Caenorhabditis elegans: one gene and its partners. The protein of the gene in region 1 purifies or fractionates together with the protein of each later gene. This does not show direct contact. Each region holds a gene or a part of one and is shown in the gene's direction. Other genes may lie near its edges.

The links.
Region 2: the proteins of T23G7.3 (region 1) and xpo-1 fractionate together in Caenorhabditis elegans (co-fractionation; one large-scale study listed by BioGRID). This does not show direct contact.
Region 3: the proteins of T23G7.3 (region 1) and npp-20 fractionate together in Caenorhabditis elegans (co-fractionation; one large-scale study listed by BioGRID). This does not show direct contact.
Region 4: the proteins of T23G7.3 (region 1) and dnj-11 fractionate together in Caenorhabditis elegans (co-fractionation; one large-scale study listed by BioGRID). This does not show direct contact.

Annotation. Positions count from the first base shown.
Region 1 is NC_003280.10:9,164,763-9,170,992, reverse strand, and holds T23G7.3 (G-patch domain-containing protein), read left to right. Parts: upstream 1-3,162; 5' UTR 3,163-3,192; coding exon 3,193-3,275; intron 3,276-3,321; coding exon 3,322-3,624; intron 3,625-3,673; coding exon 3,674-4,181; intron 4,182-4,798; coding exon 4,799-4,924; 3' UTR 4,925-5,064; downstream 5,065-6,230. Other genes in the region: Transcription factor dpl-1, read right to left, coding at 1-29, 73-170, 220-288, 332-597, 646-981, 1,028-1,036; T23G7.2 (Calcineurin-like phosphoesterase domain-containing protein), read left to right, coding at 1,601-1,693, 1,744-1,848, 1,899-1,987, 2,040-2,324, 2,371-2,490, 2,546-2,951; W07A12.8 (DapB_N domain-containing protein), read left to right, coding at 5,290-5,316, 5,417-5,619.
Region 2 is NC_003283.11:7,802,498-7,809,583, forward strand, and holds the start of xpo-1 (Importin N-terminal domain-containing protein), read left to right. Parts: upstream 1-2,566; 5' UTR 2,567-2,794; intron 2,795-2,845; 5' UTR 2,846-2,864; coding exon 2,865-3,385; intron 3,386-3,436; coding exon 3,437-4,994; intron 4,995-5,040; coding exon 5,041-5,156; intron 5,157-5,206; coding exon 5,207-5,477; intron 5,478-5,625; coding exon 5,626-5,866; intron 5,867-5,869; exon of another isoform or gene 5,870-5,921; coding exon of another isoform or gene 5,922-6,075; intron 6,076-6,121; coding exon of another isoform or gene 6,122-6,516; intron 6,517-6,571; coding exon of another isoform or gene 6,572-7,086. Other genes in the region: uvs-1 (UV-stimulated scaffold protein A homolog), read right to left, coding at 1-59, 148-440, 490-762, 812-910, 959-1,081, 1,126-1,188; ZK742.3 (NADH:flavin oxidoreductase/NADH oxidase N-terminal domain-containing protein), read right to left, coding at 5,922-6,075, 6,122-6,516, 6,572-7,086.
Region 3 is NC_003282.8:1,489,207-1,498,795, reverse strand, and holds npp-20 (Protein SEC13 homolog), read left to right. Parts: upstream 1-2,773; 5' UTR 2,774-2,788; coding exon 2,789-2,836; intron 2,837-2,905; coding exon 2,906-2,980; intron 2,981-3,069; coding exon 3,070-3,191; intron 3,192-3,851; coding exon 3,852-4,166; intron 4,167-6,481; coding exon 6,482-6,752; intron 6,753-7,847; coding exon 7,848-7,958; 3' UTR 7,959-8,143; downstream 8,144-9,589. Other genes in the region: Y77E11A.16 (Serpentine Receptor, class D (Delta)), read right to left, coding at 9,034-9,202.
Region 4 is NC_003282.8:6,583,329-6,590,173, forward strand, and holds dnj-11 (DnaJ homolog subfamily C member 2), read left to right. Parts: upstream 1-2,542; coding exon 2,543-2,626; intron 2,627-2,678; coding exon 2,679-2,955; intron 2,956-3,000; coding exon 3,001-3,536; intron 3,537-3,590; coding exon 3,591-3,728; intron 3,729-3,784; coding exon 3,785-4,147; intron 4,148-4,197; coding exon 4,198-4,569; 3' UTR 4,570-4,858; downstream 4,859-6,845. Other genes in the region: F38A5.2 (TraB domain-containing protein), read right to left, coding at 346-455, 504-818, 864-1,001, 1,046-1,171, 1,227-1,525, 1,581-1,808, 1,880-1,925, 1,977-2,072; lec-11 (Galectin), read right to left, coding at 4,907-5,157, 5,226-5,361, 5,962-6,160, 6,647-6,735, 6,785-6,808.

The DNA of each region.
Region 1 (6,230 bases):
AGTCTCCAAACTGCATGCAAGGTTCAACTCTGAAAAATGTGGATCTTATCGGTTTTTGGCATTTAAATTTACTTTTTAAAATTTCGAAATCATCGTGAATTTCAAACTTCTTGTCGAACGAGAACAGAAATTCGGATTTGTCTGATGATACACTGCATTCCACATTTGCTCTTAAAAATAGATATTTGAGACTATTATAATTTTGGAATTTCAACTTACTCTTTATCAGTATTAATTATTAAAAACGGAAGATGAAGTACAGTGTCGTTTTCTGGGCGACCATTTTTGCTGAAAATTTAACTTTTCTAAAATATTTAACACTCAAACGTACTGCTCATTTTTTCTATTCCGTTCGACCAAATTTTTGTAAGAAACAATTTGCAATACCATTTCTTCGAGAGCCTGCTTTTTGGAACTTATGCTGGCTTCCCGTCGCGATTTCTCTTCTTCCAATCTCGAAATTTCTTGTGAAGCTGAAGCAGGAAGTCCAATCCATCTGATATCTTTCTTGCTTTTTGTGATGATATTCATTGCCAAAAGAACGTTCAACGCATCGTATACTCTCCTCCGAATATTTTTCATATCGTATTCTTGTTTCTAGAAAAAAAAAGTTTTTTTTCAAAAGAAGAAAAACAAACTTCTTACCACAACATCAATCTGCTTGATAAGATTATTTTGAAAGTAATCTGCTACCAGTTCATCAGCCACTTCATTGTAATTCGTCAATCCTTTTTCTTTCACCTTTTCACAAACTTTCGTGGAAAAATGTCTGAGTCCGGTTGGTTTGTCAGATTGTTGACCTCCTGCTCCACTAGATCCTCCAACTCCCGAAGGTTCATCCCAGCCCACAGGTTCATTGTGACTCTCATCTTGGTATGAACGAGGAAGACCTGTAGGCATTTGAACAATTCGTCTTCCCATACTCAGGGATACTTGTGGTCGACTTTGTGCCGGTTGGCCGATACGGGGATCGTAGTTTGTCTGCAAATGTTAGTTTAATATAATATCGATTTCTTATTTTACAAACCGGGTTCATTTCTACAGGACCTGCCTGGACGAATCAAGATTTTCGATTGCTTAGATCTGTAAATGATGACTTTGATTACGAGAAAAGCTACGAAAAGTGTTAATTATAAGAATAATGAATGATATTTTGTTGCCATCGTAAAAAACTGATTCTTTTCTGTTCTAAATCTAAATTTTATCGGTTTTTAAGAACGCTGCAATACAAACGTTAACCAGAACAATTTTTGATCAATACGTGAGAGAAATCAATAATATTCGGAAGATGGAGGAAAACAGAAAAAACCCAAATTTGAAGACGCGCCGTGCGTTGCGAGACCCATCAATGACGATAAACAACGCGAGAGGTGTCAAGGCGGAGTGTTGTTGCTGAACAAAATTTTCTTTTTTTTTCGTTCGACACTGAAATTTCAACAAATTGCAATATTCTTGTTGGAAAAAGTTAGCAAAACAAGAATTTGCTTTTAAATAAAAATTTATTTTGTTTTCCTGCTACGATTTCAAAGACCATAACTATTTTTCTCTTCAAATCGATTAAATCTTCTTCTCACCAAAAACTGACCTATTCTCATTTCAGACAATCCGGAAACGATGCTCGGATGGCCTTATTATTTTCCTAGTTCTCGGACAAGCGATTTATTTTATGTATTATGCCCCAGCATTTCTCCAGGTTTGTTTTTAGAAATTGTGTTGCTGTTAAAAGAGTCTCTTGCATTTCAGTGGCTTCTCTTCGATCTCACCTCAATCTGCGCGGGAATATGGACTAACATGATTGCATTCGTATGTGGATTTGGGATTGTTAATTTCTATGCTGGAAAAATGAAGGTAATATTAATTTCAATAATATTTAAATTATTTTAAAAAAATTTTCTCAGATGTTCCATTACACCGCTTCGATTTTGGAAATAATAGGAAAGGTTCCTTATTTTAACGATCTCATGTGGAAAAGAAGATCTCAAATAAAGTAACAAAAAACATCTCATTTCGGAACTTATCATTAAAAATGTTATTTTCAGATTCACAATGATAATCACCTTGCTTCTGTCAGTCAGTATGTTTATATCACGCGATTGGATTGTTGTCAAAGAAAAGACCATCAAAATAAAAAACTTCACTGCTGATGGAAATCGATTAAAATTGGCAGTGATCTCTGATTTGCACGCTGGTGCAAGTGTTTATTCGGAACAAATCAATCAAGTTGTCGAAAAAGTGCTTGAAAATCCAGTTGATGCTATTCTGATTGTTGGAGATATGGTAGATGCTCCTGTTGCGGAAATCGAGGATAGAGTTCGACCAATTCTGTAGGCGAATTAGTTTGATTCACAAAATTTCAATTTTTGTTTTCAGTCAACTCCCTGCTCACGCACCTACTTATTTCGTAACTGGCAATCATGAATATTATTATGGAGACGTTCAGGAATGGATAAGATTCTACAAAAATGGCCGTATTAATGTTCTTGAAAACGAGTAAGTTTTACAAAGTTTTTGAGTTTTTCTTGGAAGTAACAGTGATATTTTTCAGAAGTACAATGCTGAAAGGAGTCTGTTTGGCTGGAGTAAACGATATTTCAAGTCCGAAATCTGGAATCTTGAACACTAAAATGGATCTACCAAAAGCCATCCATCGATGTCCATCAAATACTTCTCAAATCGTCATGGCACACAATCCGGCATCAATTCGAGAATTCATCGTAGATCATCCGAAAGAATTATCAGAAATTGATATTGTCTTATCTGGACACACTCATGCAGGACAATTCTACGTAGTTATTCCAGTAGTTTATTGGCTTCTACCATACTTTTATGGACTCTATGAGATTCCATTTGGAGGTCAATTGATGGTAATGGCAGGATCATTGTATCAAGGACCACCCATGAAAATGATTGGAATGAGCGAAGTTTGGGTGTTGGAATTACTGGGAGAATAATGTGTTGTAAAATGTAAAATTCTCATTAAAACGGTTCGATGACTATTTTCTGTATGATTTCGTTGTAATTTATTTGATCTGTCTGTCTGAAATAAAAGTGTCTTCTTTGCTCCAATTTATTTTAACATTATTGATTTTACCAGTGTTCGGAACACTGTAATATTTTATTTATACAATCATTCTAATTATATTTCAATTCCTGTGATTTTAGGGTTTATCGACGCTTCAATTCTTTTGGAAAATGTCGATTTTGGCAGAGCCGAAGAGAAAACAAAAAATTAGTATTGATCCCCAAAATTTGACATGGAAAAATGACGATCAGAAGTAAGTTTTCTCCTATCAATAATCAGGTTTCATCAACATTTTACAGACTGTCAAAAAAGCTTATGGAGAAAATGGGATGGTCCGAAGGAGATGGCCTGGGAAGAAATCGTCAAGGAAACGCAGACTCTGTGAAGCTCAAGGCAAATACTTCTGGAAGAGGACTTGGTGCTGACAAAATGGCTGATTATGATTCTACATGGATTTCTCATCACGACGATTTCGCCGATCTTTTGGCAGCTTTGAACAAAAATAAAGAACAGGAACCAGAACAAACGGAAGAAGAAAAGAATGCAGCTGCGGAGAAGATTTCCATTGAATTGAAAAGCAAATCGATTAGGAGAAGAATTCAGTAAGTTTGAAACATCATTTTAAAAAAGTATAAGTATATCAATTTTTAGTTATCAAAAATTCACTCGCGCCAAGGATACAAGTAACTACAGCGATAGCCACAAAAAAGGAATTCTTGGATATGGAAGACTCAAATCTGACAATGCCGAAGAGAAAATCGAAGAAAAAACTGAAAATTCATCTGTAAAATCTGATAGTTCTGATAGCCAAGCTGACAGTCAAGAGAAAAAGGAGGGAAATAACACTGTCAGCACCCTATCCGTCGGTGACTATTTCGCTGCAAAAATGGCTGCTTTGAAGGCAAAACGGGAGGCTGCAGCTGCTAATCAGACAGAAGTGAAAATGGAAATAAAGACTGAAGTGGAGGAAGAAGAATCGGATGAAGAAAAAGCTCGTCGAAAAGCCGAAAAAAAGGAGAGAAAACGATTGAGACGAGAACAAAGAGATAAGGAAGAAACTCTGGAAACAGTTGAAACTATTCTGGAAGTAAAACAAGAAGTTAAGGAAGAAATTATTGATGAAGAGTTTGATGAAGCTGAACGTAAACGACTGAAAAAGGTAGATAAGCTATTTTTAGAAATATGGTTGACAGCAAGGGTGTCGTTTTTCGATTTTTTCGATTTTTCGATTATTTCGAGGGAAAATCGAAAAACGAAAATGTTCGATGTTTCGATTTTCTGAAAAATCTTAAAGTCGAAAAAAATGTTCAGAAAATTAATCATAAAATAAGATTTAAAAAATCTAATTTAGCTTATATTGATGAAGGAACGTAAAAATTTCTTTAAAAAATAAGGAAATGACCAAAATTTTAAGCTAATTTTTTTTTAATTGAAAATTTTTTCGAAATATCGAAAAATCGAAAAAAAAACGAAAATTTCGATTTTTTGTTACATACTTTGAGTAAGTCACAAAAAATCGAAAAACCGACACCCGTGGTCGACAGTATCTAGTGCTAAACATCAAATACCTGACTTTATTCTTGCACAAAAAATATTTTGATTCCCTGAATTCGATTAACTTTTTTCAAAAAGTTTATCAATTTATTATCATAGCTTCAAATTGAGTGATAATATTATAAACATGCCCATTACCGAAAGTGTCATCTTGACAAGGTTGCACTTTTATCAAAATTGTCAAAATTATTTGAATAAACCTCAAATTGACACATGTTCCAGGAAAAGAAACGTCTGAAGCGACTCCGCGAGCAGCAACAACCGGAAAATGAAGGAGCTGAAGGTGGGGAGGCAGATGAAGAAGAAATTCCAAGAAAAAGAAAGAAGCACACCGAAGATGAGCACTAACTTCCATACCGACTAAATTGCCAAATTTTTTGTTTTCAATTTCTATTGTTACTGTTTTCCGTTTTATTGTTGTACTACTCGTATACTCTGTTTCTTTTTTCCTTCTGCTACACTTGATAGATAAAACAAACGTTTTCTTGGCTTGTGCTCCCGTTTTCTTGTTGCACGAAAATAATTAGCTTGCTGCTCTTTCTGAAATTGACTCCTTCGGGAGTGGGAGTAATGAATAGAAAGAGGAAGGAGGAGCTGCAAAAGCAGAAGAAGAAGAAGAAAATGAAATTGAAATTGAAATTGGATTAGTTGTGAAGAAGCAGATTCGCCGAATTTGAACAAAACGTAAAAGTCTGCAGCTGCAACACTAAAAAATGTTAGCTGTTCGAATTTCTAAAAGGGTAAGTTGGATTTTGAATTTAAAATTTAGATATCTGTCAAAGTTTTAGAGTTTTATTATGATATTGTAAGTGAATTTTTAAAAAACGTTACCAATTCCAGATGGTAGGTAACCTCTACATCGGAGCAAATGTTAAACAAAGAGCACAACTTGGAGAAAACTATTTAGAGGGAACAAATGTGGTAGCAGTTCATGGATTCAAGCAAATAGGGCTTGTTGCTCAGATATTAAAGGATCATGGTGCAAATGTAGAGGAGTTCATGTGTGATTTGAAACACTCCTCGGAGATTTCAAAAGCGGTTAGGTAAGATATCAAATTAAGAAAATCGATTTTTTTCTAAATCTGACAAAGACGTTTTTTGGGCAAATACTGTTTAACTACGAATTCCGCATTCAGATATTTCACTGCGTTGATCTTTTACGTGTTTTGGAAAGTCGGTGACTACAGAGATCTTGTTTTTTGGAAAACGGATCAATAATCTTATGAAAAGAATACTGATAGTGAGAAATTATAGGGATTAGTAACGGTAAGTACCGAGGCACGAAGTCAGAGTTGGTTCGGTTATCCTTCAGTGGGGCACTGACTGGTGGTTCAACTCCTTCAGTGTGGGGAGTTGTCCACACACCGGGGTGATAAGGGATACCCGCCGTATGGCAAAATCCCGAAATTTTTAGTTCACCAGCCTTAACACCCTGGTGACGGTCCTATGGGGGTGCCGGCCGAAAGGCAAAACTCACATTTCGGGGGCCATTGTGGACTGACTACGATCTATCTAGCGATCCCTATTCATGATTACAGCAGAATAGAAAAAAACCGGCAAATACTTTTAATGTTTCTGGATTTTTTACCAGAGAGCAAGAGATCATATCGTGTTTTTTTTAAATATCTAGAGTCAAATGTTCATAAGTTCTGAT
Region 2 (7,086 bases), on another chromosome or scaffold:
TAATTTCTTGGGCAAGTTTTTCTCCAGGTTGTTTTAACAGTTGTAGTCGTTTTACTAGTCTGAAAGAAAAATTATTTCAATTTTGAATGAGGTTTCGAATTTTAATATAACATTTGTTTAGTTTTTATTTTAATTTCAAATACTTACTTTCGGAGCGTCTGAACTCGATGAATCAACGAAAGTTTTGCACCAAGAAACGCCTCAACAATAGCATCATTTTCCGAGGAAACAGAGATTTCTGGAGTCAAATCCGGAATGAAAATCTCGAAACTTTTTGAGTCCGAAATTGCAGAAGGTGTTGAAGTTGATGTGCTGGGAACTTCAGGATCTGCTGTAGTGAATGATGGAACAAGCATTTGCATTGTAGTTGTGAGTTCCATTGACAGTGTCTCCGCATCGTTTTTTATCTCGTGGTATTTTGAAGAATAGACGTTGACTGACTGGAAAGTTTTAACATTTCTTTAAATATGTGTTAAATATCCAACCTACATTCTCAATCATTTTCATTTTTCTTTCTTCCAAAATCTTTTTTCGTTTTCTTTCCGCTTCAATTTTCTTAGCTCCATTTTCATAGTCTACAAATTTTGTCTTCTTCAACGTCACCACCAAACATTTCATTCTTGCATCGTTCTTCACACACTTCTCCTTTTCCCAGCTTTTAATCACTGTTATCGCTTCGACTTTCAGCTCATTTCCATGTTTTTTCGAACCAGGGAGTGGGTTACGAATTGGGTTTGTTTCGAACATTAATTCGAGAAATTCCTAGAGAAATTTAATTTTTTAGTTTAATTTAAGCTTTCACAAAACTCACTGATGGATCATTGAGTAGATTTTCCCGAAATATTGGAAATTGTAAGAAGAAGCTATTGAACAGTTGCAGAATTAGTTTCCTATCGGGACATCCTGATCTCTTAAAATGTTTTAATTAATTAATTCTAATGTTAATCTTGAATCTTACGCTTGTAGTATCCAGCAATACTTCTATCACATTCTCGCAGCCTTCTTCGTCCTGATTTGCCACTTCTTTTTGCAAATTTTGATATGGTATTGATTCAAAGTCCAACTTTCCATCATCTGTCAGCTGAAAACTTTCGCATAATTTTGTTTTTTAGTTCCAAAACTCACTTCTCGTATGAATCGGTTCAAATTCTTCCTTATTATTGTTGTGGAGTTGTCAATTGAATCCATAAAACTGCAGTACTGAAAACAAAAACAAAAATAATGTTTTCTATCATAATCTTAAAGGCGCATGCAAAGAAAACCGTTCACAGGTCTCGAAGCGAAATAGGTGATACGGTTGTTTTTTTCAAATATTCCTCACTTTTGGTTGCCTTCTTTTCAACATTTTATTTGTTTCCCGATAAGTTTAGACGCCAATTTTTATTTCAAGGGAAATAATTTTATTTAGCGAAAATTATCAACATTTTTTCTTGCTTTGTTCTCAAGTTTGGCTTCATTTTTCTTCTGAAAATCACAAGAACGATGAAAACAACAGCGTATAAACATGAATTTAATTTCGCAATCAAATTATTTTCGAAATAATTCGTTAAGATGTACTTAAAAATTTAACAGCACATTTTATTTTTGTGAATATCTACTTTCGAAAAGTAAGTAAAATACATTTTACTCGTTGTTTCCGTTCTCACCAAACACAGAAATATCAGGTCCGCGAGTACCCAACAGCCGCGAAAGTTTTTGTCAAATGCGCTCCATCGTACTCTTTTGCGTCTGCGATGAATTCGAACAGGAAAGGCCGCGAGGAGACTTTCCCCGCGCGCGCCGGCGCGTGTCTTGTGATAAAAACTGGGATGGCCGCTGAGCATGAATCCGACGATTTCTCCCACTTCTTCCGTTTTTTGTCTCTCACACGTAAAATCTGCTTCACCGCTGTTTTTTTTCCGTTCTCATAGCAAATAATAGGTGTGTAGTGTGTCACGTGCGGCGATTTTGTTGCTTCTATTTTCATTCAATCTTTCTCATTTCGACATTTTCGACGCGCGTCTCGGCCAAAAATATTCAGAATGGTCCTTCCGTTTCTCAATTTCTTCTCCTGTCTTCATGTATCTGCAAACAAGTAAACATGCGAAAAAAAATCACATGACCCCTCCTCAATAGCTCCTACGCTTTGTTTTCAATGTTTTCCGAACGTAAAGAGAGGGCGCAAGTCATGCACATCACGTGACAAGACAAAGCGGGACGGGTGCACTCATCGAGGTGTCCTCAATCGATTTTTTACCGTTGCTTACAATAACATCGCGCGCTCTGTCCCAATTCAGCAAGGTCGCACACAATATTTTTCGCAGTGAGATTTGTTTGGCCGAACTTTTGCATTCAGCATTTCTCACTTCCTAGTCTTGAATAGATCCTTATCAATCCAGTAATTTCGAAACATTTGACTGTCAAAAGTGACGATGATGAAAGAAATATCTCTCGTCTTCTCCCATCTCCAATTTCCGTTTCTGAATTTATTTCTGTCAAACTTTAGGTCAATATTTTTTCCCTCTCTTGACATATATTTTCTACACCTTTTGGTTTGCAAATTTAAAAATAATTTTCTTATTTTCAGAACTGGGCTAGATCGATCGTCCCATCGTCAACAGTCGGTTGTGTGAGAGAGCGTGAGAGTGTGTGTGCGAGTGAAACGATATTTTGGCCTAATTTTCCAGCTTCACTGTGAGAAACACAGGATTTCTGCCCGAAAAGCGAGAGCCTGAACCCCGCCAGTTTTGTGTGTGCGTGAGTGTGTGAGACTGAACTGGAAACTACTGCCGATTTTTGCGAAATTTGATCGCTGGTAAGTTATTTTATATTTATAGTGTTGGTCAATAAATGCTATCAATTTCAGAAACCGACAATAAAAAAACATGGCTGTCTCAGCAATGGAAGTGCTCTCTGAAGCGAAGCGTCAATTCGCCCAAGGTGACCGTATCGATGTGACTCTTTTGGATCAAGTCGTCGAGATTATGAATCGAATGAGCGGAAAAGAACAGGCCGAGGCTAACCAAATCCTCATGTCGCTCAAGGAAGAACGCGATTCGTGGACCAAAGTCGATGCGATTCTTCAATATTCGCAGCTAAATGAGTCCAAGTATTTTGCACTTCAAATCCTTGAGACTGTCATCCAACACAAATGGAAGTCGTTGCCACAAGTCCAACGTGAAGGAATCAAGTCGTACATCATCACCAAAATGTTCGAATTGTCTTCTGATCAGAGTGTCATGGAACAAAGTCAACTGCTTCTTCACAAGTTGAACCTCGTTTTGGTTCAAATTGTCAAACAAGATTGGCCAAAGGCATGGCCAACATTCATCACCGATATTGTTGATTCATCGAAGAACAACGAGACCGTTTGCATCAACAATATGAATATTCTGAGCTTGTTGAGGTATTTTGAATTAGTTTTAAAATGTTTTGCTACATTTATTATATTTTTCAGCGAAGAAGTATTTGATTTCGGATCCCAAAACCTCACCCAAGCCAAGGAACAACATCTGAAACAACAATTCTGTGGACAGTTCCAAGAAGTATTCACACTGTGTGTCAGCATTCTCGAGAAATGTCCATCCAACTCTATGGTTCAAGCTACCTTGAAGACTCTTCAACGATTCCTCACCTGGATTCCAGTTGGCTACGTTTTCGAGACAAACATCACGGAATTGCTGTCTGAAAACTTCCTTTCGCTTGAAGTGTATCGTGTCATCGCTCTTCAATGTCTCACGGAAATTTCACAAATTCAAGTTGAAACCAACGATCCCAGCTACGACGAAAAGCTTGTCAAAATGTTCTGCTCTACAATGCGCCACATTAGCCAAGTTCTATCTTTGGACCTCGACCTGGCTGCTGTCTACAAAGATGCTTCCGATCAGGATCAGAAACTCATCAGTAGTCTGGCTCAATTTCTTGTCGCGTTCATCAAAGAGCACGTTCATCTGATTGAAGTAACTGATGAGCCATTAACTGAGGCTAAAATTTTAATGCGAGAATCTCACGACTATGCTATTCAACTTCTTTTGAAAATCACTTTGATCGAAGAAATGGAGGTTTTCAAAGTTTGCCTCGATTGTTGGTGCTGGTTGACTGCTGAGCTCTACCGTATATGTCCATTCATTCAGCCAAGTACTCTTTACGGAATGATGAGTCAGGTTCGTGAGCATCCACGTCGTCAACTCTACCGTGAATACCTCTCGCAACTTCGTTCAACAATGATTTCTCGAATGGCAAAGCCAGAAGAGGTGTTGATTGTGGAAAATGATCAAGGAGAAGTTGTTCGTGAAATGGTCAAAGATACTGATTCGATTGCTTTGTACCGTAACATGCGTGAAACGCTTGTCTATTTGACTCATCTTGACAACAAGGACACTGAAGTGAAGATGACTGAAAAGTTGGCATCACAAGTGAACGGAGGAGAGTTTTCGTGGAAGAATTTGAATCGTTTGTGCTGGGCTGTTGGTTCGATTTCTGGAACGATGGTTGAAGAAGACGAAAAGCGATTCCTTGTTCTTGTTATTCGTGATTTACTCGGGCTCTGTGAACAGAAACGTGGAAAGGACAATAAGGCAGTGATTGCGTCAAACATCATGTATGTTGTCGGACAGTACCCGAGATTCCTTCGAGCTCACTGGAAGTTCCTGAAGACGGTTATCAATAAGCTTTTCGAGTTCATGCACGAGACTCATGAAGGTGTACAGGACATGGCTTGTGATACATTCATCAAGATTTCCATAAAATGTAAGAGGCATTTCGTCATCGTCCAACCAGCTGAGAATAAGCCTTTCGTCGAAGAGATGCTCGAAAATTTGACTGGAATCATCTGCGATCTTTCTCATGCACAAGTTCACGTATTCTACGAGGCTGTTGGACACATCATTTCTGCGCAGATAGATGGAAATCTGCAAGAAGACCTGATCATGAAGCTTATGGATATCCCAAATCGCACATGGAACGACATCATTGCAGCAGCATCCACTAACGACAGTGTGCTCGAAGAGCCGGAGGTAATTTATTTTAAGGGGTTGGCTTTTATATTTATTCAAATTTCAGATGGTCAAATCTGTCCTGAATATACTAAAAACAAATGTGGCCGCCTGCAAATCCATTGGATCTTCGTTTGTAACCCAACTCGGAAATATCTACAGTGATCTTCTATCCCTCTACAAGTGAGAATTAAAAAAAAAAGAAGTTCTGTTAGTAAACCTAATTTTTTTAGAATTCTATCCGAGAAGGTGTCCCGAGCAGTGACAACCGCCGGCGAAGAGGCTTTGAAGAATCCATTGGTAAAGACGATGCGAGCTGTGAAGCGAGAGATTCTCATCCTTCTATCGACATTCATTTCAAAGAACGGAGATGCCAAGCTCATTCTGGACAGTATAGTTCCACCATTGTTCGATGCGGTTCTCTTCGATTACCAGAAGAATGTGCCACAGGCGAGAGAGCCGAAAGTGTTGTCTTTGCTCAGCATTCTGGTCACACAACTTGGAGTCAGTTATCTTTTGAAATTTTGAAAAAATTAAAATAAAATAAAAATAATTTAGGGCTTGAAGAAAAATTTTCAAATTCGTCTCAACTCTTAACTTTTAAATTTCGAAAATTTCTCAAAAATTATAACTTTATCAAATTATTTTTCAGTCTCTCCTCTGTCCACAAGTGCCGAGCATCCTCAGTGCGGTTTTCCAATGCAGCATTGACATGATCAACAAGGATATGGAAGCGTTCCCCGAGCATCGAACCAACTTCTTCGAGCTGGTGCTTTCTTTGGTTCAAGAGTGCTTCCCGGTTTTCATGGAAATGCCTCCAGAGGATCTTGGAACAGTCATCGACGCCGTCGTTTGGGCATTCCAACACACAATGCGCAATGTTGCGGAAATTGGTTAGTTCGAAAGCATTTATTTATTAAAATTGACAAAAAATAGTTTACTAAATTATTAGGTAGATTTGTTCAATGGAACGTATTTAATTACTCCAGCAAATCGATCGTATCCTCCAATTGGTTCCAGCTCTGTTTTGTAGGCTCCACAAGCCTTTTTGAAATTGTTAGCTTCATCTTCCACTGTAAAATCCGTAACTGTTGTTGAAGTGCTGTAATAAGTAGGCTCAAAGACTCAAATTGAGAAAAAATGCTCACCTGTTTTGTGAATCGTACATATGCTCTGACATCTGCTTTATATGAAAATGAGCCGCATGCTTAGCGATTAAAAATTCACTTGGAGCAAACTTCAGATCAGGACACGAGAAAATCTCTCCAGCTATCAGTTTTCTTGGGAAATCGGGCTCCGAGCAGCTCCATCTTCCAAGTCCAACTCCACTCGTTAAACCCATATTCACAGATGTGACCATTGCGTTGGCAGTTTGCCAGCGGCCGGTTATATAGACTACCGTTTCTTTGAATATTTTGCTAGTGAATTGTACAAAATCTAGGAAAAAGTCTTCCCGCGCGATAGTACTATGTCGTTTCTGAACTTCCTTCACAACACTTTCCATTGCTCCTCCTGTCAGTTCGACGAAATCAAAACCGGAATTCTGTAATAAATGTTGGTAATTAAAATAATTGGAATATTCAAATAGACATACTTACCTCGATAAGCTCGCAAACTTTGATAATATCCTCACGAGAGATGCCACTTTCTTGAAAATCTCTTGAATTTAATTTAACTCCTACTATGAATCCGGTGCTCTCTGGTACAACTTCACGAACTGCTTTGTATGTTTCAGTCAAGAGCCGAGCTCGATTTTCAATTGAGCCACCGTATTCATCATTTCTTGTATTTTTTGGAGCAAGGAATTGATTGAAAATCATGCCATGAGCTGAATGAATCTCCATCCCATCAAACCCAGACTCATAGAGCACTGATGCAGCATTGGCAAAACGTTTCAGGACATTTTCTTTGATTTGCTGAACGGAGAAATTCATCGGATTTGCAACTTCCTTCACGAGAATATGCTGCTCTCCAAGAGAGTTTGTATAAGCAGTTTGAGCTTGTACACCAATGTGATTGGTTTGAGCAATAGCCAGAGCTCCATCTGATTTCATAGCTTGTGCTAGTCTTGAGAAAATTTTAAGTGATTCGGCGCTAGTATTTTCAATACTTA
Region 3 (9,589 bases), on another chromosome or scaffold:
AAAAAATCGTTAAAAAATTATAAAAATAGCGTGTTTTCAAGATTTCCGGTGCGAAAAAACAATTTTTTAAAAAGAAAAACGTTCAAAATTTGAAAAATGCCTATTTTTCACTGCAACTTTTTCCTCACGAGGGACGAGGAAAAGTGGTTTCTAGGCCATGGCCGAGGGGCCGACAAGTTTCAGCGGCCATTTATCTTGCTTTGTTTTCCGCCTGTTTTCTTTCGTTTTTCATCGATTTTTTTCGTTTTTTCTTAATAAAACTGATAAATAAATATTTTTTGCAGATGCTAAAACAATTTCCATGTAAAAAAATTATGTATTCAGTGGGCAAGCAGCGATGAAAGTGGTCAATGTAAAATAATGGATTACGGGAATACAAAACCTAAACTTTTTCTGAAACATGATACATATGATGCTTAGATGCTGAAATTACCTGATTTTCATAACGAGACCGCTGAAAAAGTTTTGAGGTTTCCACAATTCAACTTTTTTGGTAAAAAAGTCGAGATTTTCGCACAAAAAATTGAATTTTGAAAACCTCAAAACTTTTTCAGCGGTCTCGTTATGAAAATCAGGTAATTTCAGCATTTAAGCAGCATATGTATCATGTTTCAGAAAAAGTTTAGGTTTTGTATTCCCGTAATCCATCATATTGCATTGCCCACTTTCACCGCTACTTGCCGACTGAATACACAATTTTTTAACTTGGAAATTGTTTTAGCATCTGCAAAAAATATTTATTTATCAGTTTTAATAAGAAAAAAACGGGAAAAATCTGTGAAAAAATAAAAGAAAACAGGCGGAAAACAAAGCAAGATAAATGACCGCTGAAACTTGTCGGCCCCTACCACTATTCCTCGTCCCTCGTGAGGAAAAAGTTGCAGTGTTTTTCGGTTAAAAACCTCGAATTTCCGAGATTTGTCGATTTTCTTCGGAAAAACTATGTACTTTAACAAATTTACAGGGATTTTTTTGGAAAATTTCTGGAATTTTCCAACTTTCTCGCAAAAAATTTAAAATTATCGATTTTTTGATAATTTATCTATCAAATCAAGTGGCAGAAAGGAGAAAAACAATAAAAAGGGCAGTCCGCACGTGCAGAATTGAAGAGAAAGAGGACCTCAGCCAGGGTGAGAGAGTGTAGAGGGTGTGGAGACGCAGACACTGAAAGAAGGGGGTTCAGAGATGTGGAGAGTGCAGAGATGTTGGTGTGATGAAGACTTGGCAGTGTGCCAAATGATATTTTTTATGGAATATGATGCAATTGTGCTCTGTTGATAATTTTTGGGGTGGCAGGATTCTTTTGGGGGAAATTATTGATTTTTTTTTTCTTTAAATTTGATTTTTCTATAAAAAAAATTGGATTTTCTATAAGAATTTAGATAAATAATAGTTTTCTTATATTTGCTTTAATGATTTTTCGGCACAAATAACAGATTTTTTCAAAAAAAAATTTTTTTTTACTTTTTGGGGATTTTTATCGGAAATTTGAAAAAAACTGAAACTTACGATTTTGATGCTTCTTGAAACTATTATTTTTCGAAACTTTTTTCAAAAAAATTCTGGAAATTATTGATTTTTGTCCTAAAAATTTTTAAAACCCCGAAATTCTATCGAAAAATAATTCAACATTTTTAGATTTTGCGTGAAAACTCTGTTAGAATATCGACTTTTCTGTCAATTTTCAATTTTTTTCCGCAAAAACTGCCAGAATTTCCTCAAATAGTTCATTTTCGATTGAATTTCCAAATTAATCCGAAAAATCGATAATTTTTTGATTTTTAACTGGATTTTTCGATAGAAACGTTAACTTTGCTGACTTTCTAAAATTTTTACAAAAAAAAACATTTTAAAAAACGTTGGAAAACACATAAAATTCGAGTTTTTCGGCTGGAAATTGGGGAAAACACAAAAAAAAACAAAATGTTCTACAGTAACCTTGAAACTGCGCGTCGGGTTAGATGCATTGATACGCAATTGCGTACAATGCATTTTACTTGCCGCGCACACTTTTTGGAATTATTTTCAGCAAAAATTGCAATTTTTCAAGTATTTCAGCGAAGAAATTGAAAAAAATAAGATAATTGCAAAAATACAAGCGGGTTTTAAAGTTTTCTTTTTAAAAATCTCAAGTTTCTCAATAAAAATATAGAAAACATGTTTTAAAACAGGAATAAGCGAAAAACTATTATAATTTATTGATTTTCGCCTCCAAATCACGCTAGAAAATCAAACTGATGATCATGACAGAAAGAAATGATCGTAAAAATTGCGCTGACGACGTCACGCGACCCGCAATAAGACACACGGAGGCTAAGCACAAAATATAATGTGTTTTTTTTTCATTTGAATCTTTTTTTCAGACTTCAAAGTACGGCGTGTTGATATTGATGATCAGAAGAAAAAATCAAAACAGAAGAAAAAACAAGGACAATATAATTAAGAAAGTTGTTTTTCAGAACTTTGATCTTTTAATCTGTGTTGAAAGGTTCCCTGAGTTGTTTTTGATTTAAAATCTTAAAAAGTAGAACTAGAAATTGTTATTTTTATCAAATTATCAACAATTTCCCATTCGAATTCTCCAGGTTTCCATCAATTATTATTTTCTCGTGATTAAATCCACGTTCCTTGGCGCACGAGAAACACGCCAGCTATCGTTTGCTGGCGCGTTTCTCGTGTTGACGCGTTTCTCGATCGTTCCAACTTGCAATTTTTAAATTCAATTTTTGCCGAAATTCACTCAATTTTTAGCGATTTTTTTCGAAATTTCTAGATTTTCAGCTGAAAAATGACCACGGTCCGCCAGAGAATCGATACACAACATCGTGACGCAATTGTAAGTCGGAAAATCTGAATTTTAGCTAAGAAAATCTATTTTTTTTTTTTAAATTCTGAAAAATTGCAGCACGACGCTCAGCTCAACATCTACGGAAGCCGACTCGCCACGTGTGGATCTGACCGTCTTGTGAAGATTTTTGAGGTCAGGAAAGGCGAAAAATCTTGGATTTTCTGCAAAAATCCCAGAATTTTCATAATTTCAACGCAAAAAAAAATATAAAAATATTACAGGTTCGCCCAAATGGCCAGTCATATCCGATGGCGGAGCTTGTCGGACACAGTGGTCCCGTTTGGAAAGTCTCATGGGCTCATCCGAAATATGGAGGACTTCTTGCCTCCGCTTCCTATGATAAGTACGGAATATTTGGAAAAAAAAACGGAAAAATGATCAAAATTTGCTAGATTCGATCAGAATTTCATAAAAATACGCTAAAATCTCTGTTTTTAATCGGTTTTCAGCTCATTTTTTGGGTTTTTTGCCAAAAATTGGTTAAACAGAGTGATTTTGGAAGAAAATGGACACAAATATTGAAAAATGCAGCCTATTTCTGAAATTTCAATGAGTTTGATCATTTTTCACCGATTTTACGCTATTTTCCCTTTAAATTCACGGATTATTTAAAGAAAAATCAGTATTTTCGGTCAATTTTCACAGTTTTTTTTTGAATTTCAAGCCTAATTTCCCTCAAATCCACCAAAATTTTAAAAACTTCAACGGGTTTTATGAAATTTTTACCGATTTTCTGCAATTTTTTCCCGAATTTTAGTCGATTTCTGCCCCGATTTTTGTAATTTTTATCGATTTTATTCAATTTTCATAGTTTTTTTTTCGGAATTTTGAGCCAATTTACCCCCCAATCCAACGTTTTTTTCTGGAATTTCCATGAATTTCAGTAGTTTTTCACGGGTTTTTTGCAATTTTTAGCTCATTTTGCTCTAATTTCAGGCATTTTTCATCAATTTTCACAGATTTTCAGCCAATTTTCCCCCAAATGAATCGATTTTCTTTCCAGAAAAGTGATAATCTGGAACGAACAACAAGGCCGCTGGCAAAAAGCCTACGAATGGGCCGCTCATGAGGCCAGTACGACTTGTGTGGCCTTTGCACCACACCAATATGGCCTAATGTTGGCTTCTGCCTCTGCTGACGGTGATATCGGTATTCTTCGATACGACAATTCGAGCAACGAATGGATTTCGTCGAAAATTCAGAAATGTCATGAACAAGGAGTTAATTCAGTGTGTTGGGCACCTGGAAGTGCTGATCCGGCGGCAAAAAAACGTCTTGTTTCAGCTGGAAATGATAAAAATGTCAAGATTTGGGCTTTGTGAGTAGAGAAAATGCACTGAAAATCGATTTTTTAGATTTTTTAGATTTTTTTTGACCCGAAAAACGTGAAATTTTGACGTTTTTTCGATGGAAAATACAAAAACCGCAATTTTCTCAGGTTCTCAAAAGTCAGATTTTTTGTAAGCCTAAGCCTAAGCTTAAGCCTACGCCTACGCCTAGGCCTAAGCCTCAAATTGCCAAAACTTCTCGGAAAAAAAGTCGTAAAATTTTACTTTTTTTTCAGCAAAATTGGCAGATTTTATGAAATTTTCCCAAAAAAGTTGTATTTTTGATCCAAAATTTGTTTAAAAATCACAAATTAGTGCAGTTCTTACCGGAAATTTTTGAAAAATTCAAATTTTTCCCTCAAAATTACCTGATTTTTTGCTAAAATCACAAGAATTTCTGAGATTTTTCCCCTGAAAAAGTCAGTTTTTCTGGGATGAAAAAATTCGCAAAATAAAAATTAAATTCGGATTTTTTTTAAGGCCTAAGCCTTAGCCTAAGCCTGAATTCCAGAATTAAAAAAAATTTCCTTCTGAAAAATCAATGAAAAAATTGTTTTTTTTTCTGAAATTCTCAAAATTTACAATGTTAAAGTTAAAAATTCGACCCAATAGCGTATTTTTTCACCGAAAATTCTCAAATTTCTTAAATTTTCACCTGAAAAATCCCATTATTTTGCCAGTGACGACGCGAAAAACGAGAAAAAATGGAAATTTTTCGCCAAAGTTCCAGATTTTTCTAGAGTTTCCTTTGAAAAATCCTTTTTTTTGACAATTTTTCCGTGAAATAACCCATTTTTTCACAGTTTTCCATCAAAAAAGACTAAAAATCCGACCATTTAATAAATTTCTTTCTAAAAAATTGTAAAAGTAAAAGCGAATTCTACCCGAATTTCAGATTATCGTGTTAAATTCAAAATTTCCAGGTTTTGGATATTTTTTAACAGATATTTGTCGAATTTCCTGGATTTTCCCCCTGAAACATCCAATTTTTCGGTTTTTTGATTAAAAAAAAACTGAAAAAATCACTCAAAAAATAATTTAAACTTGAAAATTTGTCCCAAAAGCTGTTTTTTTTGCAAAAAATTCTCAAATTCCAGATTTTTCGCAGTTTCATTTCAAAAAACCCCCAAAATCGGAAATTTTTATTAATCTTTTTTGCTGAAAAATCAGAAAAAAAGTATATTCTTTCGAAATTTTTGTCGAATTTCCTGAATTTCCTCTTGAAAAATCCATTTTTTGACAATTTTTCCGCGAAATTACCCATTTTTTTACAGTGACGACGCGCTACAAACAAAATTGTTGGTGAAAATTCGAAAAAAAAAAAAAAATTTCCCCATTATAATGCAGAAATTTGGGTTCGCTTTGGAAAATCCCAATTTTGAAGCTGCCCAAAAGCTGATTTCCCACTGAATTTTGTCGAATTTATTGGGGTTTCTCACTGCAACTTTTTCCTCACGAGGGACGAGGAAAAGTGGTTTCTAGGCCATGGCCGAGGGGCCGACAAGTTTCAGCGGCCATTTATCTTGCTTTGTTTTCCGCCTGTTTTCTTTTGTTTTTCATCGATTTTTTTCGTTTTTTCTTATTAAAACTGATAAATAAATATTTTTTGCAGATGCTAAAACGATTTCCAAGTAAAAAAAAAATGTATTCAGTGGGCAAGCAGCGGTGAAAGTGGGCAATGTAAAATGATGGATTACGGGAATACAAAACCTAAACTTTTTCTGAAACATGATACATATGATGCTTAGATGCTGAAATTACCTGATTTTCATAACGAGACCGTTAAAAAAGTTTTGAGGTTTTCAAAATTCAATTTTTTGTGCGAAAATCTCGACTTTTTTACCAAAAAAGTTGAATTGTGGAAACCTCAAAACTTTTTCAGCGGACTCGTTATGAAAATCAGGTAGTCTCAGCATTTAAGCAGCATATGTATCATGTTTCAGAAAAAGTTTAGGTTTTGTATTCCCGTAATCCATCATTTTACATTGCCCACTTTCACCGCTGCTTGCCCACTGGATACATAATTTTTTAACTTGGAAATTGTTTTAGCATCTGCAAAAAATATTTATTTATCAGTTTTAATAAGAAAAAACGGGAAAAAGCTGTGAAAAACAAAAGAAAACACGCGGAAAACAAAGCAAGATAAATGGCCGCTGAAACTTGTCGGCCCCTCGGCCATGGCCTAGAAACCACTTTTCCTCGTCCCTCGTGAGGAAAAAGTTGCAGTGTTATTGGGGTTTCCTAAGAAAAATTCATTTTCTTAATGACAATTTTCCTTCGAAATCACCAATATTTTTTCCTCCAGTGACGACGCTACAAACGAATGGATTCTCGAGAAAACCCTAGCCGGACACACAGATTTTGTACGTGAAGCCGCATGGTGCCCGGTAACAAATAATGGACAACATACAATTGTTAGCTGTGGAATGGAGGGAAATTTGGTACTTTTCCGTACTTCAAATATTGAAACTGAAGAGTGGAAGGCGAAATTATTGGAGACGGCTCCGTGTGCATTGTACCATTCATCATTTTCTCCGTGTGGATCATTCCTTTCAGTTGCTGGCGATGATAATGTGGTATGGAATCGAGGATTTTTGTGTGGAATAATGTGGAAATTGGCACCGAAATTGGGAAAATTATGGATTTTTTACGTCAAAAATGGCACAATTTTTGAAAAAAAAAAGTGTACAAAAACAGCGAAAATCATCGCTTCAAAAACGGAAAATTGTCACATTTTTAGCAAAAATCGCTGAAATTTTGGATTTTTTAGCTCAAAATTATGATTTTTCGAGCAAAACCTAGAAAATTCGAAAAAATTTGGAAAAAATAGCGAAAAAAAAAAGCATTTTGGCATTAAAAAAAACGGAAAAAAATCTTACCTACCTCTAGCCGCAGTAGGCATGAGGCAGGTGGCAGGTTTTTGTGAGGAAAATTTTGATTTTTTTTTTTTTTTTTTTTTTGGTTTTAATACAACTTCTATCTTTTTTGCCCGGTTTTTCGTAATTTTAGGAAGAATTTTTCAGAATTTTCGTTGAAATTCGATTTTTTCAGGTGATTTTGATCGAAAAATGCTAAAAATATTAATTTTCGAGCAAAACCTGGAAAATTCAAAATTTTGGAAAAAAAAATCTATTGAGAACTGGCAAAAAAGTGGGAAAACAAAAAATTTTTTTTACCGGAAAATTGGCCAAAATCACTTCAAAATCAATTTTTTTTACATAAAAACCGGCGAATTTCGGTTGAAAAGTATCGATTTTTGAGCAGCACATGAAAATTTCAATTTTTATGAAAAATTTGAGAAAAAGCTACCGAAAACTTGCAAAAAAAGCATTTTGGCACGAAAAATCTGAATAAATGGAAAAAAAATACTCAAAAATTCAGAATTTGCAGTAATTTTACTGAAAATGGCGAAAAATTCGAATTTTCCGATCAAATCACCGGAATTAATTGAATTTCAACGAAAATTCTGAAAAATTCGACCTAGAATTACGAAAAACCAGACGAAATGTTCCCGCCTGCCTAATGCCTACACGTGTGCCTACCGTGCCTACAGGTAGGTAGGCAAATCTTCTTAAAAAAGTGCCGTTTCTACAAAAAAAAGCATATGATAAGCTCTGTTTGCAGGCAGGCAGGCACCTACGCCTAAAAACGCTCATTTTCCAATTTTGCAGATCACAATTTGGCGCGAAAATCTTCAGGGACAATGGATCAAAGTGCCACGTGACAATAAGGAACGCGAGGGAATGAGCCAAGCGGTCGGAGCTCCGGGAGCTCAGAGATAAATAAATTATTTATTTTTTTTCGCTGTTTCTACACCCATAATTCCTCTTAAAACTTGTATATGTACCTGTTATTATTGATTTTTTTCCTCATTTACTTCTCCGAATCCAGATATTTTATGATTTTCCTTCTTTTTCTCTCTCAAAAAACTAATGCGAAACCGGGATGAAGTTTTATTTATTTATTGATTTTTTTCGACTAAATTCAGATTTTCTCTTATTTTTGAAAAATTGGTCGCAGTAGCGCAGTCGGTTACGGGCTGGGCTGGGACGCAGAAGACCGGGGTTCGACTCCGCGTGGTGGGAATTTTCTTTATCTTAGCGTGATTGATACTGTTAACAAGCTGAAACTGAGTATAACCTGCTGGAAACTAGTGAAACTTGAAAAAAATCAGTTTTTTTTCGGAAAAATGCGGAACAGTTTTTGAAAACATGATTTTTACAAATTTCCATGCACATGTTCAAATTTCTCGCACAATTTTCGTTTATTTGACACCAATATTGGCTCATTTCCGAGGATTTTTCGAAAAATTGGTTGCAGTAGCGCAGGCGGCAACGGGCTGGGCTGGGACGCAGAAGACCGGGGTTCGACCCCGCGTGCTGGGAATAATTTTTTTCTTGGTTGATACTATTATCTAGCGGAAGTTGACCGAAATTTGTTAGAAATTAGAAATAATCTCGAATAGTTTGGGTTTTGTGTCATTTTTTTGCGGAAAAATGTCCAAAAAGTAAATGAAAATGTGATTTTCATGAATTTTCATTCAAATTTTTGAATTTCTCGCTTAATTTTTAGATAATTTGATGCCAATATCGGGTCATTTTTGAAAAATGGGACGTGGTGGCTCAACTGGGTAGAGGTCTCGGTGAGACTGAGAAGACCGGGGTTCGACCCACGGGGGCGGTTTTCAACTTTATCAGTTTGCCTTAATAGGTTTTATTGTTCTTTTTTGAAGTTGAAACTCAAAATTTCAAAAAAAATTTTTTTGAAAAAGTACAAAAAAATTTCGACTTTTTTAATTTTTATTTTCAAATTTTATTATTTATTAAAACATTAAAAAAAGGGTTAATTAAGAAAAAATCAATCATATCTCGTCGACGAGTATCGCGTCTCGCGTTCCCCATATACAGTAGTCAGAGATTTCGTAGGAATTGGCCGGACCATCCAGCGGCAGAATAGACGTCGGAAACCATGGTTATACGGTTTTATGTAGTATATTGTGATAATTGGTTGGATAAGGGGGATTACGCTGAAAATTGGAGCAATTTTGAATTTTGAAATTTTGAAAAAAAATTGAAAAAAATTCTAATTTTTTTTTCTAAATTTTTCTAAAAATGTTGATTTTTAGCAATTTCCAACCTTAAATTCAAATTCAGCACAACGAGAGCTTTCATTTAAGTATAATCACGCCTAGGTTCCCTTCACTTTGGGTCTCGCAGCGAAAATCTACAGTACCCTTTGCATTTTCGCTGTGGGACCCAAAGTGAAGGAAACCTAGTCATGATTATACTTAAATTGAAGCTCTTAGCTAGCTGAATACAGATTTAACACTTTTTGGACGATTTAAATGGTCAAAATATAAAAGTTAAAAAAAAAAATTATAAAAAAATTTTTTTGGTAAAATTTAGGAGAAAAA
Region 4 (6,845 bases), on another chromosome or scaffold:
TTTTTCCTTCTTTTTTTTTGAATAAAAATATTATGTATCTAATTCAATTCCCATAAGATTGTGAGAATACTTCGTTTTTACAACAAATCTAACATGAAATTTCCTCATAATCGTATGAGAATTGAATTAGGTAACATTTTCATTAGAAAAAATAGTGAAACCAGTAAAATTGAGAACTTATCGAAAAAAAACCACCAAAAAACGGTGGAAAACAATGCCACAGGCTTGCAAAACTACGCGCTGCCTCTCTCTGTGCGACCTTGATTTTGCAAAATTCACGTTTAATTTCATCGTTTAATTTCAACATTCCCAAAACTAAATTTTAAACAAAAATTTCCAACCTACCAACGAGACTCTATGAATGTGCTAACACGATTGAAGATAGCACGTCCTCCACGATAAGCCAAATATCCCAAAGATCCCCAGACAACAATACGGACGCCAGTGGAGAAAACCTGGAAATAAAGAAATGAAAGAATTAAAATAACTTCAGATTAATTTACCTTTGTTCCGAGGCTTGGTGGTGGGATGTTCATAAGTGGATCAAAATCAATATTTGTATTCCATTTGTTAACAATTCCTGGAGTATGTCCGATTCCAACGACAGCAACAACTGTCAACGGTTGAAATTGTTGCCCAGTTGTTCCACGAAGCCATTGTGCACGTTTTTCGACTGAGTTCCGGTGTACGAGCATATGCAAAGCATGCGTCATGTAGGCATCACGCTCTTCCACAAAGATTTGGGATAGTTGTGGGAAATCATCAGCCATCTCGGCGAGAAGTTGCTCCAGAAGGTCACGTTGCTTGCATCGTTCCACCTATAATTTTGGAATATTTTTGGAAAAGGTTGAATAATTAAATACCTCTTCTGCAGTTATCTTCTCACGATGTGAAAATGCAACGTGGAAGAAGAAGCGAATTTTTTGCCAGATGGAGAGAGAAGCCAGTGCACGTTGAAGTGTAACTTGAATAGGACGATCACCGAGAACTACACGACAATTCTGAAATAGTTACTTTGTAAATAAAACTTTTTAAATACTCAAACCTCAGTTGCAACTGCTGCACGATGAGCAGCACGGAATTCTCCTCCGGGAGCCATGGAAAGTTCACGTGTTACATGCGCTGACATTGACAGGAGAAGAACGTGCAGAATTCCTTGAATCGCGCCGTTCTTAAAAAAGTTGAAAATATTACAACATTACAACAACAAAAATATGAGAACTCACTTGTTTCATGGTCTGAATAATTTTTTGAGAGTTGAGATCTTTCGCTTCGCTCAAAAGCCGAGCCTCATCCATCGATATGATTGAAATTCGTGATGGACACAGCTCAAGCATGACAAAATCAGGTTGCACAGCACGAATTGTGTTGGATACGTCTTCCTGCGACTCTTTTGAAAAGTGAGCTGTACCGATGAGATAAATGGTGGAGTCGAGAATCGCTTTCTTCCATTCTTCATCAGAATCGCTCAGCACGGGGTTGCGTGGAGGAATCGCCAGATTTGTAGGCCATTTGAGCACTGTTACTGTAATTATAGAATATAGATATCAGTGTTACATCGAACTGGAGTTTTAAGAAACCTGTATTGGCATTTGGGACGAAGTCATCTGCTCTTTTCCTTCCGAAATGGTACCCTCCACAAACAGGATTGTTCACCACTGCACCATCTTCTGTTGCTTCAGGAGCTTGTTCCAGCTCATAATCCAACTCGGCATCATCTCCAACATGCTCATCAAAATTTGAAGTCGAATCTGCGAGTGATATGATGGACTGCTCGGCTGTCTCACTTGCACCACCAACAACTGAAACTAAAAAAATATTAAATATTTTAAAAATAATTATCTTTCCAAACAACTTCAAGCGATGAAAAAAAACTTACGTCCTTTTTTCGAATTGATTGTCAGAGAACGCATCCGGAATAGATCCTGAACATGGAGATTGTTAATAATTTTTACAAATGTAATATTTCAGCATACCTCTTCAGTCAATTGATCTTCCGATGGTGGTGGCACGTCATTAGGGTCTGGAAACTCAGTTCCATCTGGATTCAAGTTTGACGATGACTCTGACATCTGAAAACCTTATTTTGGATATAACTTGAAATTATAACATGTTTTATTTCATACAATCGCGTACAAAGCGGAGCTTACAAAGCTGAAAAACAATTAAAATGAATCCAAATCACTCCAGGTTTCCATTTTAAGTTACAAGAAAAAAAAACAAAAAAGACCAGCGAAGCGCGTTTGCATTGTGTCTCCGTCTCCATAATTTATGTTGTGACTCGGTTAAAACCGCGCCGCACTCGACATTTTGCAACCATGGCACGATTTCTTCTTTCGTAAATCCCCCGCAATTATTTTCAGTAGTTTTTCAGCTTTATTTCTCAGATTATGTCCCTTTTTCTTCTCTTTCGTTGCTGAAAATCTTTTATGAACAACTGTGGTCACGCGATTTAAAAAGAAAACAGAAATTTCTAGGCTGATTATGTTCTTTTATTTCGTTTTAGGACTAAAGTAGGCTCAAAATAATTTAATAATTATAGATGACTACGGGCAATTTACAAGTTGCAATTTATGGATTCACAGCTCGAAGCAGAGCTTTTGAGCCAGCCGGAATATGCTATGAAGTGAGTTTACTATCACCTATGTCCGCAAATATTTCTTAACTGACATTTTCAGACTCGCCTTATTCGAGATAAACTCACACTGGGCCACTGTACGCTTCCAATCTATAAAAACTCTCCTGTTGCAAAGCCTGTTACGGAACAGCAAAGAAAAAAGTCGTCTGAAGAGCCAGCTGAATTGAGAAAAGATCTTTTTGATGCTGATAATGAAAAATATGAAAAGTACTTGATGAAGCTGGATCCAAATGACTGCAAAAATCAGGATCACTACAAAGTTTTAGGATTGTCGAAGCTCAGATGGCAAGCTACATCTGACGAAATTCGTTTCTGTTGTAAGTTAAAATGAAGTGAGAATTTTTTGAAGAGAATTATTTCAGATCGTCAAAAGGTTTTGAAGCATCACCCGGACAAGAAGAAGCATCGTGGAATTGTTATGGAGAAGGAAGAATACTTTACTTGTATCACAAAAGCTTATGAACAAGTTGGAATGTCTGACGTCAAACGTCAAGCTTTCGATTCGGTCGATCATAAATTCAACGATATTATTCCAAATGAGAAATCAATCAACCATAATAACTTTTATAACGAACTTGCTCCAGTTTTCCAATTAAACTCCAGATGGTCCAATATCAAGCCAGTGCCAGAACTTGGTAAATCAGATGCGACCCGGGAGGATGTCGAGAATTTCTACGATTTTTGGTTTAACTTCCAGTCATGGCGCGAGTTCTCGTATTTGGACGAAGAAGACAAGGAAAGAGGAGAAGATCGGTACGAAAGACGAGAGATGGAGAAACAGAATAAGGCAGAAAGAGAAAGACGGCGGAAAGAAGAGGCGAAGAGAATTAGAAAGTTGGTTGATATAGCTTATGCTAAGGATCCTAGAATTATCAAGTTCAAGAAGGAACAGCAAGCGGTAAGTCTATAAACTTTGCCTAAACTTTGCCGGATTTTCAATTTTAAATTTTAGAAAAAAGATAAAGCAAAGGAAGATAAGCAAAGAGCCATCCGTGAAAAGCAAGAAGCTATCGACCGTGAGAAGCGTGAAAAGGAAGAAGCCGAAGCTAAGCAGAAAGAGGAAGCTGACAGAAAAGCAAAGGAAGAAAGAGTGAGCACAATACACCAGAATATTGTCGATTTTTAAATACTAACTATTATTTTCAGGAGAGAGAAAAGAAAGAGCGTGATATTGCCAAGAAAGCTATGTCTCAGCAGCGTAAGCGTCTGAAGAAACTCGCTGATGAAGCTGGCCACTGGACGGAGAATCCTCGCGATAAGCTCACTGAAATGGAAAGAATTGAGCGGATTTGCATTGGGTTCACTGTTGATCAACTCAGAGAGCTGTGCGAGAAGGTCGAATCACTTTCAATTGCTTCTGAAATTCAAACTGCGCTAACAGATGCTGAAATTCTGAAGAAAGAAGCTGCTGGAGCAAAGGTCACAATCACTGAGGATAAGAACAAAGAAAATGAAAAGCAAGCCGACAAGGAGACATGGACTAGTGAAGAGATTCAATTATTGGTTAAGGTAAGACATAAACGATTGGAAATCATTAATTAATTTTCATATTTTTAAAGGCTTCAAACACATTCCCACCTGGAACCGTGGAGAGATGGGTTCAAATTGCCGATTACATTAACGAGCATCGCAAGGATTCTACGGGTTTACCACCAAAAACTGAAAAACAGGTTATCAAGCAATGCAAAGCTGTTCAAACGATGAACGTCAAGCTACCATCAACTACTCAAAATCAGCTAGGAACTGCGCTACCAGATGAGGATGTCTGGTCAGCAACCGAACAGAAAACTTTAGAGGACGCTATCAAGAAGCATAAGTCAAGTGATCCCGAGCGGTGGGAAAAGATCTCAACAGAAGTTGGCACAAAGTCCAAAAAAGCCTGCATTCGTCGTTTCAAGTATCTCGTTCAAATGGTTAAAAATAAGAAATGATCTTCTAGTCCAAGTAATATCTTCTCTAAATCTTCCTCATCCCTTCATATTATTTCTTGTTTCTCCTCCATAACTCTTGTTTCCGTTCCCATCACATTTTAGCTCGTTATATTGTTTTTTCTTCATTTATTCATTTATTCTTGAAAGCCTTAATCATTCTTGACTCTTGACCAACTCAAATTCAGTAGTACTATGTACTTTTTTTTTTGTTTCTGTCATCAAACTTTTTCTGCAGTGCTCAATATTCATGTCTCAGTTATGAACATTAGATGAACGGTGCGTCCCTATCAATTTGTCATGTTCATTTATTCATTCATTTTCACAATAAGTACAAATTTCAATAGTGATGGTGACGGTGGTGATGATAACCGTCCATGTAGATAACTTCAGGTTGAGTATAGATGATTGGAGTAGCAGTTGGATACACGATTGGTTGAACACTTGGATATATGGGTTGAACCATTGGTTGCATAATTTGCTGAACAACCGGAACAATCTGTGGTTGGGGAACAATCATTGGAGGCGGTGGTTGAGCAACAACGATCGGAGTTGGAGCAACAGGCATTTGCATTACACCGATTTCAGTACCTAGAATTATTAAGATTGGAAATCAAAAAACAAAAAAAAATCCCCAGAATATTAAGATAAAAACCAACCTCCTCCGTTATGATGTTTGAAGTTTTCGAAATGAATTTTTCCAACTCGAAGATCTCCTCGAACAGTCATTGCAACGATTCGTTTTGGGCATTTATGATGATGATAATGTCCGATGTGATGTCCGTCCACGTGGATCTGGAATTAAATTGATTGTTTTTACGAGAATATTGTTTGAATAAAAAAAAACTATCTGTGTTCAATAATCTGATATTCTAAACTCAAATAATTAGAGAAATTAGGTTTTAACATAAAGTCTTTCACACTCGTGGGTACGGTAGCTGAGAAGTTTCAGGACCCGATATCTTGATTTTGGGTTGAAAATTGTTTTTTTACGCAAAAAGGTAATATGTATTCACAATATTTACGAAAAAGAAAATCTACTTAGAACTTCTAAATTTGTTTTATTACGTAGGCATCTACAGTTGCGAATTTCATCATATTTTACGCGCATGGGTCTCGCCACGCTGAAACCGAGTTACTGTAGCTCGTGTCAATTTACGAGCAGCTCGACACGATATACAGTCACTTCGCGTGGCGAGACCCCTGCGTGTAAGATGTGGCGAAATTCTCATTTTTAAACGTCTACTGAATATGGCTCTGATCGACGTTATTACTCGAACATGGATGAGAAGCCGGGAGAGTTTTTGAACGTTTTTGAGACCATCTCGTAAATCCACACGGCCGAGTTTGCCTCAAATGAGACCCTGTGGATTACAGAACAATAGAAGAACCAACCGAATATTTTCTGTGCTCATTATGAATTCTCATACAAAATGGTCGGCCAAACATGATTGTATTCTGATGATGTTCTTCTCGATGCCATCTTCCTCTTTGTAAATGATTAAATACAATCACATTTTGACCATATGAACCCATTCGAACCGATATATGAAGAGCAACTCCATTTTTGGTGGGAAATTCGACTGTGAATCCTCTGTAATATTGAAAAGGTTATCTATTACTCAAGTGCAAAATGTCGTGATTTCTTTTCTTAAAATACGGCTTCAGGTCTCGCCACGACGATATTTTGTTAAATGGAAACGAGTGCCTTTGAAGATTACTGTAACTTCTATTACGAAACCATCAGATCATGAGAATGCCTACCGTTTTGGTGCGGGAATATCTCGTAGCGAAGGCACTCTCTTCACTCTCTCTGCTGTCGCTATTTTCGCGCCAGAAAGTAGGCATTCTCATGAAATGGTGGTTCCTTAATAACCCCTCTCCCGTGATCTCAAACTGTTTTAGTATTAAAGTTTTTCAAAAGGAAAAATACGTTTTTATTCGAAAATGGGTTCAGAAATCATTGAAAATTACCGTACTCTTTAAAGGTGCACACCCGTGAAACTCGAAAAATTTGGAATATGGTAATTAAAACAAATTACCCTGATTCTAAAATAATTAATTTTTGAATTTGACTAACCCCTGTGGACCTTGAAATACTTCTCCATGAATTTCCACAGATGAATGTTCTCTCATTCCCTCATAGATTGGTGTAGTCAATGGAATTGGCTGAAAATAGTTACTTTAGAACAAATAAGCTCATAAACTAATGACTCACTGGATTTTCAATGACGTGAACCATTATTTATTTGATGAAAAGCTGCGAATTAGAAACTCGA